Linked DNA regions of Neodiprion lecontei. The protein of the gene in region 4 binds, or shares a complex with, the protein of the main gene of each other region. Links are inferred from orthologs where the notes say so. Each region holds a gene or a part of one and is shown on either strand. Other genes may lie near its edges.

What was found.
Region 1: exosome complex exonuclease RRP44 (region 4) and exosome complex component RRP41 share a complex: the UniProt entries of both Caenorhabditis elegans proteins name them as parts of the RNA exosome complex. The link is inferred for Neodiprion lecontei from reciprocal best matches to the Caenorhabditis elegans genes dis-3 and exos-4.1.
Region 2: exosome complex exonuclease RRP44 (region 4) and exosome component 10 share a complex: the UniProt entries of both Caenorhabditis elegans proteins name them as parts of the RNA exosome complex. The link is inferred for Neodiprion lecontei from reciprocal best matches to the Caenorhabditis elegans genes dis-3 and crn-3.
Region 3: exosome complex exonuclease RRP44 (region 4) and exosome complex component CSL4 share a complex: the UniProt entries of both Caenorhabditis elegans proteins name them as parts of the RNA exosome complex. The link is inferred for Neodiprion lecontei from reciprocal best matches to the Caenorhabditis elegans genes dis-3 and exos-1.

The regions. Positions count from the first base shown.
Region 1 is NC_060262.1:41,627,789-41,631,542, reverse strand, and holds exosome complex component RRP41, read right to left. Parts: upstream 2,038-3,754; 5' UTR 1,762-2,037; coding exon 1,591-1,761; intron 1,508-1,590; coding exon 1,208-1,507; intron 1,122-1,207; coding exon 765-1,121; 3' UTR 610-764; downstream 1-609. Other genes in the region: trifunctional enzyme subunit beta, mitochondrial, read left to right, coding at 1-270, 382-426; protein cornichon homolog 4, read left to right, coding at 2,732-2,806. UniProt on the Caenorhabditis elegans protein: Non-catalytic component of the RNA exosome complex which has 3'->5' exoribonuclease activity and participates in a multitude of cellular RNA processing and degradation events.
Region 2 is NC_060263.1:36,947,424-36,953,851, reverse strand, and holds exosome component 10, read right to left. Parts: upstream 4,672-6,428; 5' UTR 4,492-4,671; coding exon 4,354-4,491; intron 4,233-4,353; coding exon 3,987-4,232; intron 3,914-3,986; coding exon 2,387-3,913; intron 2,166-2,386; coding exon 1,576-2,165; intron 1,251-1,575; coding exon 1,094-1,250; intron 949-1,093; coding exon 880-948; 3' UTR 501-879; downstream 1-500. Other genes in the region: pancreatic triacylglycerol lipase, read right to left, coding at 1-132; coiled-coil domain-containing protein 50, read left to right, coding at 5,084-5,141, 5,250-5,312, 5,435-5,552, 5,784-5,961, 6,142-6,428. UniProt on the Caenorhabditis elegans protein: Catalytic component of the RNA exosome complex which has 3'->5' exoribonuclease activity and participates in a multitude of cellular RNA processing and degradation events. Involved in apoptotic DNA degradation.
Region 3 is NC_060263.1:20,669,481-20,673,860, forward strand, and holds exosome complex component CSL4, read right to left. Parts: upstream 2,301-4,380; 5' UTR 2,201-2,300; coding exon 2,164-2,200; exon of another isoform or gene 2,008-2,163; coding exon 1,892-2,007; exon of another isoform or gene 1,815-1,891; coding exon 1,566-1,814; exon of another isoform or gene 1,478-1,565; coding exon 1,396-1,477; exon of another isoform or gene 1,056-1,395; coding exon 943-1,055; 3' UTR 535-942; downstream 1-534. Other genes in the region: ABC transporter G family member 20, read right to left, coding at 4,122-4,380. UniProt on the Caenorhabditis elegans protein: Non-catalytic component of the RNA exosome complex which has 3'->5' exoribonuclease activity and participates in a multitude of cellular RNA processing and degradation events. Involved in regulation of antisense ribosomal siRNA production.
Region 4 is NC_060266.1:26,348,278-26,356,006, reverse strand, and holds the start of exosome complex exonuclease RRP44, read right to left. Parts: upstream 6,099-7,729; 5' UTR 5,762-6,098; coding exon 5,708-5,761; intron 5,615-5,707; coding exon 5,444-5,614; intron 5,356-5,443; coding exon 5,198-5,355; intron 5,120-5,197; coding exon 4,914-5,119; intron 4,818-4,913; coding exon 4,588-4,817; intron 4,494-4,587; coding exon 4,218-4,493; intron 4,046-4,217; coding exon 3,761-4,045; exon of another isoform or gene 3,626-3,760; coding exon of another isoform or gene 3,491-3,625; intron 3,381-3,490; coding exon of another isoform or gene 3,074-3,380; intron 3,017-3,073; coding exon of another isoform or gene 2,718-3,016; intron 2,627-2,717; coding exon of another isoform or gene 2,508-2,626; intron 2,399-2,507; coding exon of another isoform or gene 2,235-2,398; intron 2,146-2,234; coding exon of another isoform or gene 1,969-2,145; intron 1,904-1,968; coding exon of another isoform or gene 1,845-1,903; exon of another isoform or gene 1,564-1,844; coding exon 1,326-1,563; intron 1,232-1,325; coding exon 973-1,231; intron 891-972; coding exon 647-890; intron 556-646; coding exon 335-555; intron 118-334; coding exon 1-117. Other genes in the region: arp2/3 complex-activating protein rickA-like, read left to right, coding at 1,845-1,903, 1,969-2,145, 2,235-2,398, 2,508-2,626, 2,718-3,016, 3,074-3,380, 3,491-3,625. UniProt on the Caenorhabditis elegans protein: Putative catalytic component of the RNA exosome complex which has 3'->5' exoribonuclease activity and participates in a multitude of cellular RNA processing and degradation events. Has both 3'-5' exonuclease and endonuclease activities.

The DNA.
Region 1 (3,754 bases), on a different chromosome or scaffold from region 4:
GGAGTCTGGGAAGTGCATGAGGCGTTTGCTGCACAAATTCTAGCAAACTTGAAAGCCATGGATTCTGATTGGTTTGCACAGAAATATATGGGTAGATCAGGTAAAATTGGTGTGCCAGATATCAACAAGTGGAATGCTTGGGGTGGTTCTCTGTCTATCGGACATCCCTTCGCCGCTACTGGAGTTAGATTAGCAACTCACACAGCAAACCGCATGATCAGAGAGGATCAACAATTCGGGCTAATTGCTGCCTGCGCTGCTGGTGGTCAGGTCAGCAATGATTTCTTATTTTATTATACACAAATTTTAATTCTTGGATCCTCAAGCCTGGCATGCGCTGCAGTAATCAATGACGGATGAACCATTTATCTTTATTTACAGGGAGTTGGAATGATACTGGAGAGACACCCAGATGCCAAACTTTAACGGAACTGCAGAATAAACTATTCTAATCTTCTATTCGTAAATACGATACACTGCATTAAACGTTTTATAAATGCAAAAGAGTACGAACCCTTTCAAAACTAGGCTGAAAGAACGAATTTATATTTTTACAGTCGGAGATATCTGTTATATAAATGTGTACATGTATATATTTTTTAAGATTTATTACACCTTGAAAAAAGGAAAAAAAAAGCGTAATGAAATAGTACAATAAATCATGATCCATTTCAAATTTTCATTAGTTCATTTCATATGCATAGCTGACGACACATACACACATATATAAGTAAAACAAATATGGGGATGAATTAAACATAGTACTAAATAAAATGAGGATCATGTGTCGTTAAATGGAATCTAACTGCTTGATCAAGAATCACCCTTGTATCCCGACAGCCCTGCAACGCCCGTTGCCTGAGCCCTTCGAGCCTGGAGAGATGGAGTCGTGCACCAGTTCCTTGCGCCACGACTACTAAACCGGAATTGTCGGTATCTGACTCATAATTAGAGCCAGGGGCTCCTGGTAAAGCAACGACAGTTAATGTCGTCGCTCCTGTACATTCCTCCATATGATTTGCATCAACTATTCCTGTTCCAGATCCTGTTTCATCCTTACTGTCAACTTCTTCCGAAGCTCCCATGCTGGCTATCGTTGCTGTGCATCCTACAGAGTAATCCTGTAAGTAAAGCATATCAAATTTCATTATTTTTATAGTAGAAATCAGTAAAAGCACAGTGCGTAAGAAGTTATTATTAGAAGTACCTTAATGGGAATACCAGCGTCGATTAGAGCGAGAGTCGCTGCGTTTACTGCTGCGCAATAATCACTGCCGTCGGACTGAAGGACTTCGACAAACACGTCGATTTGAGAGCGAGGGTACAGTTCTACTTGTACAATAGCTTCGATAGCCCTGCGTAGCTGCAGAGACGTTTCTTGGGTCTTGCGATCACCGCGTGGTCGTTTCTTGCGCTCACCGGCACTAAAACTGAACACAGCCATACTGTACTGGCAATTTATAATTCCCGTGCCACTTCTGTTCCCACCACGCCCCCCTCCTCTTGGCTGTAGCAAACAATTGTTATTGTCAATGAGCAAGTTAAGAGAATTATGGATGTGAACAACTGAAATACGTTATAGGAAATAACCTGATGGGGCCCGTACACTGCAGCCAAAACTTTTGTGTTGCCCTGTTCTAGGTAAGCACTCCCATCCGACTGCCCGAAGACACCCATTCGAACTCGAATCTGTCTCAACTCATTTGCTCGTCGTCCATCGACTCTTAGTCCTTGGTCCGACACTAAGTCTTGGCCAGACATTGCGAAATTTACTTTGTATACTTTCAGTATCACTTTCCTTTTACAATTAGTCGATTGTAGAATCGCGTGGTGTACCCGTTTGTTGTCGATCTTGCCCAACCTAATTTGTCTCGGCCTTTCAACCACGCTTTCGTGAGGCTTTGACGGCTTTGACCATAATCTTTCCTGCTATACCATGGCTACACTAATAACTAAAGTGAGCTAGGTGTTCGACGGTAAGTAAAGATATGTTTTGTTGGTAACATGAATCATCGGAATAAACGAAGATGGAAAGCCCAACGACACCCACGAAACACTTACCAAACGCGTTCGTGTACCGGCAGCACTGTCAAATTACTAAGATATAAGATTATCGACTAGCGTTCGCCCACTTCGCCCTCCGAACGCGCACGGAAAGTTAATCAGGTTCATGTAAATAATATTATTCAGTGTTCAAATTAAGCGCACAAATTTGTGCTTAGGCATGATCAGCATGTTTAAATTCGCTAGTAATTAGTTTGAAGCGCTAGAAATCCCTTGAACAGACGCAGATTTACCCACGAACTCGGCAGCGCAAAAGAGATAAGAGATGATTGACAGCACTGGGAGCTAACTTCGAAACACACCCTTTAGAGCCAAAGTGGATGTGAGGTGTTGTGCCCTTTATAAGTCTATGGTTGTGCCTTGAAAAATGTACGCAATCCACTGACAGTACGGTAGTCGCTTTCCAATGCGGCCTCGAAGGTTTTCTGCGATTCTAGGGCATTTTCTTCTCGGCCAAGTGGTATGCTTGGTGGCAAGAGGCGTGAAGTGTGCTTGACGAGGCTTTGACAGTCCCACGACAGTCGGTAGTTTATAGATTTACCCACACCTTTTCTGTAAAAACAAAGATTTAATTCTTTGGTGTTACGCTTACCGAATCAAACTTGTTCCCGATATAATTTAGTTCTAATCTGAGAACTTATTGACAGCTGAATTACGTGTAGAAATCATGGTTTCCGAGCCGCTGTTGTTCGCGTTTGCTCTATTCGACACCGGCGCTGTGCTTTTTCTGCTTGTGTATTTTGTATCCTTTTTTAATTGTAATGCTTTTTGATTAGCGTTATATTACGCTGTACGTTATCGATGAATTTACGTTGCATAAACATCTCGGTGTATGTTGTTTGATGTTTACTCGGTTGCTTTGACGTAGTCCAAGATTTCTAGGGAATTTCACGTTGTCATGTTTCGCCCATGGTGCCTTAGAATACCCTAAATAAACGTCAGGGAGTAGTAGGGTGCAATAACCGCCAATTCAAAGTCTGCAACGAAACCCACGGCGATGACTGAAGACTGTCAAAGACGGTTGCCCTAACTGGGTTTTGTGTATCTAACGAGATTGAGTGTTAAACAGCTCCCGCAGGTAAAAAAGGATCGCTAACACGGATTCTTATGGCTCTAGGCCCACTTACCCGCTGAGTAATGGTCTGGAAATGTTTTTTTTTCAGCGGTAACCGTCTGCATACTTCCGTCAACACTCGCGTCAAATATGTCGTTGAAATAGTTCCATTGTTCTGTGTTGGGCAGCAAAAATGTTAATAGGCTTATAGAAGACACCAATATCGTGGCTTCGTTTTGGTTAACAATCAGTCCTGCAATATGCATGTACAACGTATATGACGTACAAGTATATCTTGTCTATGATTTATAATAGAAACCTACAGATAAAAGAAGATGAAAACTCGAAATATATTTATAGATGTGAAAACGTCTTGAATAAATAGTCTTACAAAACGCACCTGTTTAATTGACATTGACGACTTTCCGTTTATATCTCTGTTTAAATAGATTCTGCATAGTTTCAGGGGAGTTTATATCGTTTATTTGTCTTTCACGACCCGCACGGTTTTTGAGAATTGGTAGCAGCCACGAGTTTGTCGCAGTACATAAATTAAAAATAGCCCTATATTAAATAATCGCTCAATTCAACGTCTATCTCACCGTCGTTTGCAGTTATTAATGCAAGCAGATATTA
Region 2 (6,428 bases), on a different chromosome or scaffold from region 4:
TCCATGCCAATGAGATCTTACTAAGCTACCGTTTTTAATTTGTACTGAACTGATAATTGTAGCACTGCAATTGTTGTTAATAAACAGCATATATGACACAATACCGAAGATAATTATGCTAAACGCACTCATGTTAAGGTCAGTGTTGCTCTTGACGCACTGACCACGATTGATATTTTGTTTATCTAGAAGGAAATATGCAGATAAGACGGAAAGCTATGATGTGATACACTATCCACGTGAATGTTGTCATAATACCACTGGAAATGACTCAACTTTTAGTTTGTCTAGTTTCCAGGCTAATACCATGCACAAATTGACATTTCATCAAAAGAGTAGACCTAATTTAGGGAAAAACAAGCAAATACCTTAATTACTATTCACGACTGATGAAATGAATCATAATGAAAGAATGTTTTGTATCCAAACCCACCATCTAGTTTATTAGTTTATAATGTGGGACATTAATACACAGTTTTCACTGTAAGAAATGTAAACGATTGATGTTCATATTTGAAACGTTTTATTGTTTTAAAACCATTCTGAACAGTTTGAAAGTTAGACAATCTTACCAATAATATCAATAATTGGTACATGGATACTTGTATTTAAGAATGAAACGTAAAAGAAAAAGAAATTCAAATAAGATGAATGGTTCTATATGCTGTGGTATGCGACGTCTAATTCACGGAATATTTTATGAAAGTAATCACTCGCGCTAATCACGATTATTCCGTATCCCGTCCCATCACAGTAGGATTGAATTCTCACGTAGTGTAAGCTTTCAATTTCATCCAATATTCCCGATATATCATTTACTTCAGTTTACAGAAGTGACCCTTTTTCGGACCATATTTTAATTTTTACCAACCCACGGGGTTAGCAGTTCCATTTTTGCTTCTTATTACCTCTATTTCCTTTCCCTCGATTTCCTCGTGCATTCTTTTTCTGAAATTCAAGTGGAATTCGTTGAGTAAACATAAATTCGTGCTGTGGGCTTCTACCTTTTCCACTCGCAATTAAAAGAATTCGATCAATTGTACAACAATAGATAGTAATTTAGTGCTGTACCCATACGAATTTGCCAACTCACCTTGTTCTGAGCTTGGAAAGGAATCTGATTGTGCGCGCGGCTGCCTCCTTGAAAACTACTGAAATCGACATTTTTGTAATCAAATGATTCTCTAGGTAGAATACCTTTCTCTTTCATATTTCTCTTATTTTCCTGTTTACTCTTCTTCTTATTGTTTCTGAAAAATACACGAAATTATATTATTCTTACAAACCATCTTTCTAATTGATCATTACAATGCTTGGTGGATTATTTACTTATTTTACAAGGTTACTTAAAAAATTCTCTGTTATTTGTTCAAAAAGTACGATATTATCTATAGATGATAGCATGAAAAAATTGTAGCACCAGGAAAAACTTTCTGGGTCTAATAAATAAGAATCGGTTTTACAGTTTTCCAAGTCTGAAGTAAGCTGGAATCGTAAAGCGTGTATATAATGGCACAATACAAAATGAATGAAGAAATTCACTAAATAGTTTTTTCGCAATTGTAGAAGTATTACCTGAGTGATTTGACAGACAATTCATTATTTGCAGAAAGTTCCGTATCTTCAGTGAAAGAACTGTGCCCTGTATCGTGGTATGATTTCTTTTGTTTCTTTACACCCTGTGTGGGTGAATTCAACTCTCGTTTATCTCGTCTATAATTTTGAGTGAATTTTTTATGCAGGAAAGGTAGCGGTGTCGATAAATCATCTTGCGACTCTGTCAGTTTAGTATCATCATGATAATTAGATTGTCGTTTACGTTTTCTTCCCTGCATCTGGCTCAAAGTTTTGTGGTCAGGCCCGAACTGTTTAGAATCAATAGACTGATTCGAACTGCTACCAGCGGATTGCTGTACGCTGATTGGATTAGTAACTGCTCCAACCACATCTTTGAAGTGTTTATAAACTCTGTTTTTACTCTCTGCTATTTCGTTTTCACTATTTTCTACCAATTTTATTCTTTCAGCTTCTTCTTTTTCTTGTCTCTCTCTTTCTTTTGCCTCTTCTGCAGCTACCATGGGTAATACACGCTTATACCGTTCAAAAGGACTGATGAATGGCGTTCGTCTTTTTTTTCTCGTAATGTGCCCCGCAGTGTTTTCATCCTAATAAAAAAACAAGCAAAAAAATGTCCTCAAAGACGTACTTGAGAAAATTAAGTGATGAAAATGAATTGATCAAATTAATTAATAGGAGAATCCTAATCTGAGTCAATTGAATTCTAGAGCTGAATTAATTAGATTTTTGCAATTATTGTGAAATCATTTGCTATTTCAAGTTTCGCAGGGTAAGATTCTCCCTTAAAGTACACTTTTTGTTATCAAACCTCCGATTGTGGGGGGCTGTCAAATACAGTGACAGTATGAGGAATCGTGTGTTCGGTAACATTAATTTCTGAAGAGCTGTTTAGGTCCAACAAACAAGGTAAATCGGCTCTGATCTCCATATCATGTGGCATATCATGAGGTGAATATAGAAGTGTAGTTTCTAAATCTGTAACTTGATTTCGCTGCGTCATACGTTGTCGGATATCATCTTCTAGGATAGGTTTGATCATTGGTTGTTCCTTTGCTTTCAAGATTATTTTATGAAGCGATAATGCGTTTTGTCTGACCAGAGGGGGTATGGGGTTACAACATGCCAGAATTCCCTGCATTTCACGGGGTAAACTCTCAGCGATATTCAACAGCATGTGATTTGGTAGAACGTAACCAGTACTGTCGTCCTCTGCCCTGCCAGTAGCATCTCGCCACTTATGCAGTTCTCTAAGAGCGTACAATTGCCTATTGTTGAACATTTTCTTGCTCTTTCGATACAGATTCATACACTTTTCCTCCGACCAGACTGGTTTTCTGTATATCTTTTTGCATACGTCTGTACTTCGATCATACACTGCCTTCAAGATATTGCTTTGGCCATTGGCCTGTTCCAGCAATGCATTCATAAGATTATCTTTAATATACAACAAGTAGTGAGTATCTTCCCTTGCATATTTCATCAGCTCCTCAGGTAGAGGCCTGACTCGCCAATCGGCCAGTTGGAAATGTTTGTTCGGATCAATATCACAGTACCGCTTCATAAGATGTGCCAAACTTAGGTATGGCAAATTAAGCTGTTTGGCCGCAATATGAGTATCAAACATATTTACAATGTACAAAGACAAATCTCTTTGCAGCCACTCGATGTCACTGCCAGCGCCGTGAAATACCTTAAGAATGGACGGTTTCGTAAATATCTCATTAAGCTGGTGCAGCTCAGATCTAAGTGATAATGTGTCGACAAGATAGTCCGTATCTTTGGTTGATATTTGCATTAGACATGTTATGCCTTGGAATGATCTATAAGAATGATGCTCCAAGTCAACTGCAATCTCAGTGTATTTACTCAAATCATCCAATAGTATTTTTATATCTTCAGGTTTTTCAATCACGATTAAAGAAGTGTCGTCTATATGTTTATATTCAACAGGAACACGAGACTCCAGTTGATGCTCAGGTGCTTCAAACCTATCAAGTTCAAATTCGTATGGATGGCTGAAAAATTCTCCATCTTCATCTTCTTCGACATACAGAGCGAGTGGCTTCAATGAGTTTGGTTTATCCTTTATTCTAGGTTGCCAAGGTTTAATGCTGTTATCAATTTTATCTTCAAACTTCAACTGCGGTCGCTGGATATTCTTTGCCGTCAGTAAACAAATCGCTTGAGCCTTATTTGCCGGTTGAGTTTGCTGAGTTTTTGAATGGAAGGACAGATTGTTCCAGCTGCCGCTTACAGCTGTCGAGTTACTTTGCGATACAACAAATTCGACATCTGGGTTTCGCAGAATTCCTGAGGCCTCATCCATACATATTCCCTAAAAATAAATTAAATTCTGTTACTTTCCTTAACCAAAGGTAAATGGTTTTCTTCTGATGTTGCCAACTTACTGCTCGCTCTAATAAAATATCATTAGCTTCAATCAAAAGCTCAAACTTCTCTTCTATGTCACGCCGTCTGATATTGCCTCTCACTCCCACACCTTCTGTAATGTTTTGCATACAGACCAAAACGTTGTTGATCTCCTCATTAATGATATTACGAAAGGTTGGAAAACATTTGTAGTAGTCATATTTTTCACCACTGGGTAAGCCGTTGGCGGCCTTTATGCCGGTTTTTAGTGCTTCAAATCCAACCTGGAAAAATAATTTGATTACGATCAGCATAGACGATTAAATGAGAAAATTGACCAACATAAATCATTATGTTTTAGTTGTTTTAAATACGTATAGTGAGATTAGAAGCTGTGACACTCACATTAACGAAATCATCAAAATTTGTGAACCCTGGTAGGATTTCGATGACCTCCACACCCTGAGCATTTGCGGATTCATCCTGTGGTTCGGAATCATTACGAGATTTGTGACCAGGCTCAATACTCGTGTCGGTGCTCATTTTTTCCACGAATGTCGTCAATAAAAACGTGACGAAACTTTCTATGCACTTTTGAGGTTAAGGGTACCTAGTTTTAGGGTTATATCTTACACACGCCACCAGTGTCTCGAAAGTGAGGAAAGTGAGCTTGAAGTCTGACTACTTGATACATAAATGTTGAGTGTAAGGGCCTTGCGACCAACTTCATTTGTAAAAATTGCAAAGTGTCATACTTCGATTTGCATTAAAACCACAGCTATGTAATTGGCTAATCTGACGTTTTATTTTTTCCATGAGTCTGCCAGCCAATCGGTGTGTCTGACTTGTCGCTGTCGCTGTATTAAACATTTTCAATAGCTTCTTCACGCACTATACCATACTATACCTAACCTTCCGTAAACACTACTATCCATTCTCGAATGTGAAATGACGCTTGTAGTTGTATCTACAAACGTGTGAACAGTGATTACAGACTGTAGTATACAATGCATATTCAAGATGGTGCGAACAACAAAGCGATCCCATAAGGTGATGTAAATAAGAAAAGTTGTCTACGAAAATTGTTTGTGAGCAGAGTTAAGAAAACGCGCAAGGAATAATCAAAACCAAAAATATGGCCAAGTCTGTATTGAGTTCAGATACCCTTCCTAAGGCAGGAAGAGTAAACGAAGGTTAGTTGAATATATCCAGAGTCTTCAAGCTTTCTCTTGTCACTTTTCAAGACGCGCCGTAATTGCGGCTAATTCCTCTCGAGTTAATGTTAATTCCGACGGTTACAGTTTGTCGGGAGTGGCTGGTACACGAAGATGGAGCATTGGCATACAGACTACAGGACGAGGAGAGTAAGTTTTTTTCGTCATGACCAATATTATTACAGTCTCAACCACGGTAATAATTGCGTGAAATTTACTGTGATACGTAAACGATAACCAACAATGGCTCTCATCTCCTTTGTTGTTTACAGTTAAAGAACACTACACAGGAAACAAGGTTCGCAATGCACAAGTACGCGAGGATTTACCTAAGGCCAAAGTTGAACAAGAACTTGAAGCCCTTAGATATCAATGCATTATCCAACAACAGTTAGTGAAACTATTTTTAAATTGAAAACATATGGATTCATGATCGACTTTCAAATAGTTCTATACTTATATTATTGATGTGCAAAAATGTGTTGTGCAAACAAAACTTTAAACTTAATTGCACATAAAATTGATTTACTGTTTTTCAAGTTTATTTTTTCATAAACATGGTATTTTTTTTGTCAAAATGAAACATTGTAACCGAAGAATTGATGAAGAATTATCCAACAGGGAAGAGAAAGATGCACTTGTTGCAAAGCAAATTGCTTTAAATTTAGAACGTGAGGAACGGAAGAAAGAAAGAATGTTGCAAGAGCAAATGAGACGGCAGCTCAGACTCGACGATGAAACTGCGCAGCTAGAAGCTGAATTGGAGATGCAAAAGCGGATTCAAGAAGAAAAAGATCAGGTAATATAAAGAAACAAGAATTTCACGTACATATTTGTTCAATACTAATTGATGTAGAGGTAGTTTCCCACATGTGCTGTATGATACTGGAATAATATAAAAATCACATAAAACTGAGTTATTCAAAGATGTCTATGGTAATTTTACTTATCTACGTTATCATTATGCTATGCTGAATAGGAATTAGCAAGAAAGTTACAACTGGAAGAAGAAGAAGCTACGGCAGAGGGTGAAGGTTCTATGATAGATGAACAGCTGCTAATTGACCAGAAGATAGCGATGGAAGCTCAGGATGCAGAATTAGCACGAATGCTACAGGATAAAGAACGTGCAAAAGCACGAAGAGCAAGAGAACGTGCGAAGCAAAAAAAACTGGAAAAACAGCAGCTTCAACTACTCGAGGGGCAGAATGCTATTGAAAAGCCACAAAGGCCTGACAAATTGGATCTGAAAATACAACACCAGGT
Region 3 (4,380 bases), on a different chromosome or scaffold from region 4:
CACCCCTTGCTTCAGATAATCGAAATGGCAACTTCACAAACAATATCGTATATACGATTTCACACTCTTTTCAATTAGCACACTCGCATTGGAAGTTTTCAAAAATTTGTGAAAACCATTGTACGCGGCTGTAAAGTAAATCAATTCGGTGCAGCCCAATTATTCCGTTTATAATTAGATTTTATGCTATTATTTGTAAATATATTATAGATATTTCTCTCGCCTGAAACTCTTTCCATCGCATTTCACTGGTCTTTTTCACCACATTCAAATAGTAGCCAGGTTTGATTTATCAGTGTATCCTTGTTGGGAAAAGAAATCGAACATGTTAGTATCGTTACAGAATGCTTGAGAGTATTTTGAGTTGACTGTCACTGAAAAGAATAAACGAAAATTAAACGTGTTGGGGATCTAACACAAAGAAACGAAGGTCATTCTTTGTGGATTTTGTAAATTGCAATACACAACAAGACTGAATTATGGGAGGAAAAAAATTGCAGCAAGTGAGTCTTCCAGGATATTTTTTCTGTGAACTCTGCATTTTATGTGCAATAACAAAAGAATTGAATTACTCAATGGATTGAGGAGTAAAGTTTGAGATTGACCTTGTGAATGACCTAGTGAAGTGTAATTTTTTTTCTCTAATGTACGATAAGTAATTTGTAGTATTATTGCAACTCGACAGGCAAAAGCTGTCTACAATGTATGTACATAAAAAATTACTCCAAATATATGAGTACGTATTTATATATGTATATATATAAATATAAAGTACTTGACATTCCAACAAAAATTAGTGTTCCTTATAAGCATTTCAATAGAAATTGAGACAATATTGATTCTATATGTTTAACCCAGTTTACACAATCATCCAACTATGCTATTCATTGTGGCACATTGGCAAAATGAATAGTCCGTTTATGAATGCAATTTACATTTATTTTATTTTTCATTAACGATATGCTCCGGTACAACTTTAGCTACTTTGCGCAATTCTTTGTTTAGGGTCTCTGGGCACTGCATTTCCGTCCAACTTACAGGCACCATAGATACACCTGTATAAAAAAAAAAACGAGGAATTTTCTACATTAACCCTTTACTCAACAAAATCCATAATTTCCAAATAGTGATATTTTGTTTTCACAGCAACTAATCTCAATTCACCCTAAAAAGTACAATAAAACTTCCATTTCGAGTCTAAGGCGGTAATTTTTCCAAACGATTTCATTTTGATAAATGAAGTGTAAATGGTTATGACACAAAGATGAAAACCTGTATTGTGCTGATTTTTTGTTTTACATATCTTCAAACTGAGAGCTGAGAGCTATTGAATATTTTATAGCGTATATATTCTTTGACATTTTTCTACCGCTATAAAAAAATAATTCTGCTTACCCTCTTCGCTGTGGGCGATAACGACTCCCAATTCATTCTCGGCAGTGGAAAGTTGATAAGTATGGACTTCGGTGAGAGGTAACTAAATTTTGCATGGGAAAAGTAGCCAACTATGAAACTGCGGTATTGATAACGAACGGTAGAAAAAAATTTTCAAAGAAAAAGGATACAACTCTAGCCAGAATAATATCTCCTGGTTTAAAAGATTTGTACATTTCAGTCTTATCTTTTTCCGTAGCCCTGACGTCTTCTTTTCTTAAAATGCCTCTGTAAGGTCTGGTCAAAACCACATCCCCAATGCATTTTATAACGCATTTGCAAAACCTTTGATTAACGACCATTACCTCGGCTGTTACAATGTCTCCGGGAGCTGGGACAATGCTTTGTTCTCTTATGCCGTGCACCTCAACTGTGCTCTTCTATTGATAATAGAAAGTGAGAAATGATGTTTAATCTGAAGGCAAGCGACCGTGAAATATCTTAAAACTTATCGTACGTGTTCATCTTTAACCAAGTTCACCACTCCTGCTAATTTTGAATAAATATATCCGTGCTGCTCGTAAGTTCCCGGTCCTGGAACATTTACTTTGTCCGACAAACAGAGCCTCTGACCTGGATTGCAATAAAAATTTATCATGAGTCTTAACCACCTTTAATTTGCATACAAACAAAACGTAATTGAGGATAGGACGGGCCAATTCATTTGGGACATTTCTGCGTAGAAAACTTGGGAAATGTTTATCGATTTCGTAATTCATTCATCCTTACCTGGAACACACACTATTGGCTCATTTCTTTCGTCCATTTCAGTTTTGAATCTATGTAAGTTTATTATTATTTTTCAAATTGCGACAACGGTGACAACATGTGGAGCACGTTTGAAATTAGGTTAGGTTGGGTTGTCATATTGTAGTTGGATTGGTTGGATTGGTTGGATTGTAAACAGAATTTTGTCAGCCTCGAAATCGCAAATGATCAATTGATCGATATGATTTAAATGTAAATCCATGTAAATCATCGTCGCACCAATCATTTGGAACGTTGACTGACTTCAGTCAAGTCTCGGAATACCGCGGAAAAGGGGTTAAGTAATTAGCTCTTAATACCTGGATGACAATGTTAAAATTGTAAAGGTTGAAAATAATGAACAATTCAAAAGTGCCGCCTCCTTCATTTCTACAAATTAATAAGTTTCCGTCATCAATGTTCGAAATTCTAACAATAGAAAATTATTCCAATTTATAAATCTCGCAAGATGTGAACCGATTCCAAGAAATCGTTGATCAAATTTGATCGAGTTTCGTTGCGATTGTTAAAAATAATTAGTGATTAAAATTTTTTAAATTGCTCTCCCGCCAGTTTGTATAACCGGAAGTCCGCGTTAATTTGAAAAGGTTTCGTACATTACTTCAGACCGCTCGATGTTCTTCTGTTGTTTAAAATTTATGGTGCTTGCACTGAAAGTTTTACTCCACCATACGCGGAAAACCTGTTGAATACTAACAGCAAGTCGCATAATTGACACATAACATTTATGACAGTTTATTCGCTGCAATGCTACAACATTACGTAATTATCAAATGTACATATTAATTAACATATTTCTACTTATAACTTAAAAGTCACAGACTACACAAACTATTGAATTGAACTAAAAGAAAGTCACCTGTATAAACAAGTAATGACATGATCATAGAAGTAATTGTTTGAAAAAATGTATACAGTGGGTTACATTAGTATCTCAGATACATATTTTCAAACGCATTATTATGATTATATAATTAATTACCTTCTTTATTACACATTGTTATATTATACAAAATATAAGCTCGATTCCAGGAGTCCACATAGCTCACAAGTACACATAATAGGTATAGTAATATCTATTCAATTGCGTTTCAATGTACAATTTTTTTTGTTGAATTACATACTATATTATTCACACACGTTGGAACAACATCGTCACTTTGAGATGCGTTGAATACTTTTTTTTATACGTATCAAACAAAAATGGATATGTGTATACATAAAACTTATTGAATCGACTGTAGATACGTGATACCCTATAAATAATCCGCTATATCAGTAAATCACATAATTTATACAATAATTGATCGGTCGAAAATATCTTTTAAATCGCATTATCGATGCTGTTGCGAAGAAAAATTAAATAATAGCAAATCGAAGTTGATGTGAAAAAAGAAGATAGAAATACAATAGAACCTGGTTTATCCGAGGTAATATGGGGAGAGCATAACTCGGATGCGTGAAATTTCTGATAATACGGAAAACATGTACAATCCATGCCATTACGATGTTTTACCCTAGCTTCCAGAATCGGAACTGCAGCGATTATTGCTCGCAATGTCACAAATCGCAAGAAACTTTTACAAGTTTATCCGTATTCAAATAAAGATGCGACACAAAACTATTTCATACACATAAGGCACAGTGGATTGTTCAGTTTCATCCAAGGTTCTCCGTATTATCCGAAGATATACACATTGGTGAATGCAGAGTGCTCGGATGAGATGGGCCTCTTGGATAATGCGGAACCTTGGATAATCGAATGTCGGATAAGCTAGGTTCTACCATAGAAATAACAATTTGCATGATTTAAATAAACGCCTTGATAGTTTCGTCGCTTGTAGATGAGCGCTAGTTAAACAAAGTACAATGAGGATGGGGTGCGATGAGGAGGATCGCCAATTGATTTACCTACATAATTAACCCTTCTTGAACTTAATCAGCAATATCGATAATGTGAGGAATATTATTATCCACAGGAACGTGGAGATGAAACCGTCGTAAACGGCTGGCTGAGATATGGGCCATCCTTTACCGAGCATTGCCCTGATCGACTCTGTGCTCTTCGTCAACGGCAAGATAAAGCTGATGTATCTGAGGACCGGATTCATCCCCTCGACTGGCCAAATGATCCCACAGAGCATGACGATTGGCAGAAAAGAACCCATCGCCATGTAA
Region 4 (7,729 bases):
CTGTAGTTCAAGTTGTAACACAGCTCGTGGTTCTTCTTCTTGTCAAGTAAGTTGGGATAGGTCGCATCGGCACCTATGCACACGGCGAGGAGACGGTGAACCATAATATCTGCGTACCTGGAGTGCCGAAAATCGAGATATTCGGATATTACGGGTGAACGATTGATTCAAATGCCATGTTTCGGAGGCGAGAAGATTTCCAAGTTATTGGAATTTGTTCAACTGACCATGAGCAGCGGTATATTGATTCGAAAAAAGTCAACGTCCCGGTACAAACAGAATACAATAAATAAAATGCGGGGTTTCGCTTCACCGGATTTTTATTTGCATTCACCTTCTTATTGGCGATGTGAAATGCGTGTAAATCGGACACGCAAGACCATAATGAAAGTATTCTTCAGGCTGCAACATTCCGCTGGTGAAATAAACAGCCTGCATCATGCACCGAGTCGCCAGTATCCTGAGCATCGTATTGAAATACGGGTTATCCTCGGTGTGAGCCTCGTTCAAAGAAGTTGCGAGCTCCTTGCCGGACGCAGTATTTATGACGAAGCCCTAAAAAATTCAGTAAAATGGATCGGAAAATCAAAAATTAAAAACGGCAAGATAACCCCGATTTTTTTTCTCTTTTTTTTCCACAACGAACCCGGTTCCTTCCAGCCTTCACGAGTGGATCAAAGTTTGCCTGAGGCGGCTCCGGATGTCGTCTGAGCATTGAGCACTCCGGAAAATCTTGAACAATTTTTTTTGCCACGGAAGTATTGGCAAGCAACATAAATTCTTCGACCATCGAGTTAGTCTCCCTAAGCTTCTTCGCCTGAACGTCTATGGGGTCGTGGGTCTCGCTGTCTACCTCAAACCGGATTTCCGGTGAGGCCAAAACCAACGCTCTGCAATGATAATTTCCGTATTATTTGGATATCAATGATTTTATGAAATAAAATAATTATGCGAGTTATGAGTAAAATTTACCCGTTCTCAAAACGTTTCGCCTTCAATTTTTTAGCCAAACTATTCAGGCCCCTCAGCGACTTGGCAATGGAATCTTGCTGCGTTTCGTCGTCAATCTTGAGCTGAGCCTCCTCGTAAGTCATGGCTTGTCGAGATCGGATAATACTCTTGTGAAATTTCGTGTCTATTATATTAGCCTTTTCGTCCATTTCCCATACGCACGAAAACGCGAATCTCTCCTCGTTACCACGAAGAGAGCAGAGATTCGAGCTGAGTAGTTCTGCGGGAGATAAGAGGGAGGTAATAAAATCAATAACGGCAGAGAATTAACGAACAAAGGAAGCGTGTTGCAAACGATTGCGCAATCCCCTTACCCGGAACCATGTCGATCCTCTTGTCGACGAGGTAGACGGTGGTGCCACGTGACGCGGCTTCCTTGTCCAGCGCGGTTCCAGGACGAATGAAGTGAGAAACGTCCGCGATGTGGACCCCGACCTCAAGGTTCCCATTTTCCAATTCCCGACAATGCAGGGCATCGTCGATGTCCGTACAACCCGGTGGGTCGACCGAGCAAACGTCTATGTGCCGCAGATCGACGCGTTGGGTAACGTCCTGAGGGACAAAAATCGGGGAACGAGGCGTCAGTCGAGTTGCTAATTGTCAGTAGGCTTTGGACCAACATTTGACACGCTTCCCGCTCTCTTGTTTTGCCAGTAATGGCAAAATTCTTACTCACGCCAAAGTATTGAACTAAAAATTATCATTCCTAGCTCAGTAATTCAGGCAATAGACGACGGCCGCACAGTTTCACAGCATACAAAATGGACTGTTAATTCAAGATTGGGAACGCCGTTACATTTCGCGAGATATGGAGCAACTCTATAACGATTCCAATGAAAAACACGCATTCTCAATATTTCTGGGAGTTTATAAGGTCAATCCCGGTTCCTAGGTAAAAATAAATGCACCTGTCGCTAAATAGACCCGAATTGTAATAAGCGTGGGATTGGATTCCAGAAATAAAACGAATGTCACTATGGACGATCAATCGAATGGCGAAAGTCGGTCCAGCCTCGACGTGGACCGCAATGTTTCACTGACAGACGTCTTTCCCTTCTGCAATCAATTGGACAAATTTATCAAGTACATTTTGAGCGTCAGAGATCTGAATTTCCTTACTTACGAATACCCCAAGTGAGCGTTAATTATATATCATCGTCGCATATTTTTATTCTCATTCTCATACGAGCCGTTCTTTATTCAGCTCTTATACATCGTTTCAGCATTCTAAGAAATCGGTTGGAGAGCAGCGTGAGCGAGCTGCAAAGCATACTTGCGGAAGTTAAAGAGGCTGTGGCTAACGTGGAAAAGCTAAAGGCGCAAAGAAAATCGGTTAGGAAAGAAAAAATCACAGTGACGAAGATCTTGAAAAGATTGCGGGATGACGGTTAGTTGAAATATAACCGAGAGAAAGTAAAAACTCCGTTATGCTCCAATCGGTTGATCTATTGATGCGACATAATCAAAGGCTTTTGAAATAATTGAATCTGGTACAGAGATACGGGAAATGGAATGTACTATAGCGCTGTACGATAAGCCGATGTTTTCGCGTTGGGAAAGTGTGAAGAATAGCCAGAAACCAGAAATATTGGAGGGAATACTGACGGACGTAAAAGTAAACGAAAGAAATTTCCGCCACCTCTATAATGAGCATGTGAATCGGGGGGGACATGAGGGTCTAAAAAAAACGTTCCCTTTGTCACCAGAATAAACAGCACGCGTTGGAGAACCTGAGCGTCCTGGTAACGCGAAAACTTAACCAGACGCAAGCTTTTCACCCCCTGAGTGGTGTTAACGAGGCTGATAAACGTCCAAAAGAGAAGTCAATTATTCCACTTCCATTTCCCTCCTTTTGCGCGCCGCCTCCACCCCCATCGAGGCCTCCACCTCCGCCTCCGCCGCTGCCACCACCGCTTTCCGCACCGGGTCCTGTGGCACCATTCGTGGCGCAACACCTGCCGAAGAGATCGCACGCGCAACGTTTGTCGATCCAAAGACGTCGCCGGTAAGAATCCAGACAATTTCCACCACGAGGTTGATGGTAAGATTTGAAATTCAATAGACTCGAGAGGCGGGATGAGAATCTGGAGAGAAGATGCGTCGTTGCCGGGAACGTCGAGGACCTGTCCTTGGTACCCCTGACCATCGGTGAACTACCGAGGTGCACTTTGGCTTCCAATTTATACCCGGCGACACTGTTGGGAGCCGCGAGCAGTTCGAATCACGACATTTTATCTTCAATTAGCGGGCCGAGCACTGCCGCCAGAAACGAAGTACACGAAGTTACTCTGCTGAATAATAACGTGGACAATAACGGAGCTGGCGGGCTGAGCTTCGAGTTCCATAACGAAATGCGAACGGTTTTGCAAGTTCGTTTACTACGAATTAGATTTTGGAATTATTCCTCCGTCACGTGAACTGGAATTTAAGGGGCTCCGGTAAACCCTGGAATCCGCCGACGTTTCATTTCTGTTCGCAGGCTCTTTTTGGAGAACTTCGATCAGCCGCAACCCTTCCTACTTCCGATAGTACCTTAGGCAACGCTGAGGATGCCGAGAACGCGTCGGACGACATGCGAGAAATTGAATTATACATCCTGAGAAAAAATCAATGACAAGCGGTGTTTCCGTGAATTCTTGGAACTTGGTGAAAATGGAATGAGAGTAGAGAAAATAAATGGAAGAAGATATAATGGAGAAAGGACTCACGCTTGCCTGTCGTTTAAATAAAATAAAAAATCAGTACTCACCGCCTCGGTTATCAGCCAGGGTAATTTTGGAAGAAAACTGAGAACCGCGTCTGAGAATCTGTTGTGAGGAATGTCGTGCTCAAGGAGGAGGACTTCGTTCTCTGTTTCTTTGTCGCCAATGTTACCAAGTGCTCTGACAAAGTGGCCCAAAGGGTATCTAGAGTTGCGGGGCCAAGAGTCTATCGCGACTATGATCCGCTGCTTGCTCAGATTCTCAGATTGACGAGTTTCGATCCTTACTCGCGGGATTTTTCGCTCTGCCGGAACGAACATGTGCCTCACGTTCTGCAAAAATCAAACATTGGAATATTTTTACTCTGGTACGGAAAAAATATTAAAATTTGAATGCCGGACTCAGCATTGATAATTTGTGCAAGATGTAGCAGATTTATACTGTATTTACACATATGTGGTAAGATAAAATCAATTGCAATCATTTAACTAGCAGCAAACTCACCCCTTTCACAAGACTGGGCTGCAGAATACCGCAGTATTGTCGCCATTTCCGTCTAATTATGCCTACTACAACCCCGGTAGGCGTTCTCTGAATGTTTTTCGGAACTTTTATAGCCTTCAACTCGGTTTCATCTTCCAGCAAATCACTAGGATCTTCTTCTTCGTCTTGAATAACTAAATCCGAGGGTACACTCCACTGATCTTCGGGCAGTAGCTCTATAGCGACGATATCCCCGTCGACTGCTCTATTCAGTGCGAGTTTTCCTTGCAACAATATCTGTGATCAAAGACGAAGGCCATTGCTTGAAATTTAGAAGATACCAATTGTAAACAGACAAATCACAGTCCAAGTACTTTAAAACAAAGCTCACAAATTTTTCGTATCCTTCGACATTTACACTTCCTTCCAAAAAATTCTCCCTTGAAGCAAGGAACGTTCCTTGTAGCAATTTCCTGCTCTTTATACCGTCGTGAATTTGAGCAGGCGTCAAGTGTGGTGGAAACAGCGGTGTCTTGCTTTCTCCTTCGAGAACATAGTTCCGCTTACACAGCTTGTCTTGTAAGAACCCAGCGTCAATTAACGATGCAACATAATCTTGCACTGAAAGAATAATTTCCAGTTTTTATTCGTTGGGAATTCTAATGACCTTATTATACTTAATTCTAACGATGACTTCAATAGTGCAAGTATACTTACTCGACGCAGCATTGATGCCTTCACCGATCGCTTTATCTCGATTCGCGGCATCGTCTGTAAGCAAAACAACGTCAACCTTTTGCTTCTCTTTACGAGCACCTTTGCTCGCATTCACGTGATTCTGGTACCAAGCTGCAGCGACTCTGATAGCTCTATCATTGCGATCATTTACGTTCTCACGTGGTTCTCGTTCAATATAGGTATCCCTGAAATATTCGGGAGAAAAAGTGAAACAACTTTCCTGTGGCATATTTTTTTTTTGTTAGAGAGTCAAAGATTCTCACTTATGATGCTCATTAACGAAGACGTAAAACTTTCGCTTAGGATCGCCAATAATGTCTCTCAGTTTTTTGTACACATTGGAACTTCTGTGCCGTACCTCTTCAAGCACAGTTTGCAAAATTATGACGTTGCATAGAGCATCTTCTTCGAGAACATCAATCTGAAAAAATAAAAAAACCCACTGAGATTTTGCTACTTATTCAATTGCTTGAAAGTTCTTTAAAGACCGATACTCAAAGCTCGATTACCTGGTCGAGAACTACGTTGGTATCCAGAACAAGATAGTGTCCCTGAGGGTATAAAGAACTTCTCGACTCAGGGTCTTCATCAAGGACTAAATCCTTGCTTTTGTGTTTACATATTGAGCACAGATTTGACCCACACCATATATCATCCCTGAGGTAATGCTCTCTGACAATCTGTGTAAAAAGTGCAATTAGATAACATAACCACAAGAAATTCGTAATCACAATATATGACACCGCTTATCGTTTACTGCGGATTAAACAAACCTTGAGAATATTTCCCCTCTTTGTTTTTCTGAAAAATGTTTTCGTAGTCAACATTTTGAAAATAAGTTAAAACTCTTGCTTCGCTTAACGTGAGCGTCAGCCGACGACTCATATGTCACATAACCTCTCTGACCACAACGAAGACGGAATTAGCACGATGCGGGTATAGCTCTCCGTATATTCACAATTATCTTTTCGGATAAATTTAAACCCAGATAAAAATGCGTGAGGAAGAAAATTGAAAATAAATACGAAATTTTCAAGTTTCTCGCTCATCATTGACGCCATAAGAGATTTATTATCATTTTATTGTGTAGCGTAAGCTGTAAGGTGGTCAGAATAAATGATTCAGCACACAGAGTGGTTTTCATTCATCTTTTACGTTCATTGAGATTTATTTTCTGATCGACGAAGCTCACTCAGCTGCTTTGTTTTGATCAGGTGACCTGTTCCTGAGTCACGTGTCACCATCACGCGACCGACCGACGTTCAGTTGTTACCGTCGTTACGCGACGTTCATTTGTCGCGCGACATTCGATTGAGTCGTTTCTCGTCGAATTCCGGTATACGTCTGAAATTTAGAATTCAATCCCGTGAAATATTGGTACCCCGTGTGGTTGATAACAGTGATAATTATCACGATACGTAGGATAAGTTGAGGATACTGAGAAGTGGTGCTCAGTGAATATTTTAGGTGTTTTCTTTCAGTTACGAACTTATCCGCGCTCACTTGTTTCTCTCGACTTTTTTCGAATAGTACGTTGATGTTTTTTTCGAACGAGTGATGCTGTGAGCTTCCCGACGATAATCGCGAAATTACGATGCAATCGTCGTCGTAAACTTTCTACTGGGAAAAGATGAGATTGCCCCGAAGGTGTTTTCTACAGTAGTGTGTTGTGCTGTGGTGAAATCAAGTGCTGGTGATAATCGAATTCTTCCAAACGCCTTCAGTTTTTGAGGACCAAATAGAGTGATGGCTGCCTGGATGCATTTTTGAGTACTTGCTTGATTTTAAAAGGTTAGTGATGAATAGTTTACTAGTAAAATATTTCGGTTACGCATCTTTTTCGTATGTTTCACTCTTCGAACATTGTACACGCCGCAATTAGTCAATGGAACTAGCTGAAAAATTATATAAATCTCTCGTTATTTTCATTTCGTTGAAAAACGAAGTCCAATTATCATACTAGGTTTTTTACCGAACAATAACTGCGACATGATGAATCAATGAGACCTTATCGAAGAAATTATATATCATTTTATTATATATTCCAAAATGCCTATTTATATTATATTTACACGTATTATCTATTCATTTATATACATTACACAGTTATTTCAATTTTTGTATCGCATATGGTAATTAATTGAGACTTCGTGCGGTAATACCTGTAAGTTGTATGCACACCAGCTTTTCTTGATTCAAGGGAATATATCTCAAGCAATAAAATATTTTCTCATATTATTCTCGTAATAGGTATTCTCGTTATACTATATTTGAACATGAATCTGAGAAAATATCACACTGTTATTTCAAAAACGTTCAGAAGTATGAATTTCTAATTAAGTACGAAACGATTATGGTGTCACAAAATAAAGAATGGCACATATTTGAATGTATTTATATAACGCGAGCATGTTTTCATTTTCGACTCACCTACAACTCGTATTGCAAACTTGAGGTTGGCCCGAAAAGACCTGAGTTTGACTCCCCGTTACGCAATATACTAACTTCATCTTCTATCAGTTGATGGAATTAAACCCCTAGTTAAGTTATCGAAGCACTGCAATAACACCGCTATCCTTTGAGATCCTCTTTACATGTTTCAAACACGTACAGTAATGGAAATTTTTCAAAATACTGAATGAAGCAGAGAAAACTGCAATGGACAAACGATTCGATTCTTTGTTTAAATATTGGATAAAAATTTAGCGAAAAAGGAAACTAAAACTTTCTTTCTCAACTATCGCCAAGCAGTGATCTATGATGCTTGAAAAATTGAAAAACCTTCGAGATACTAG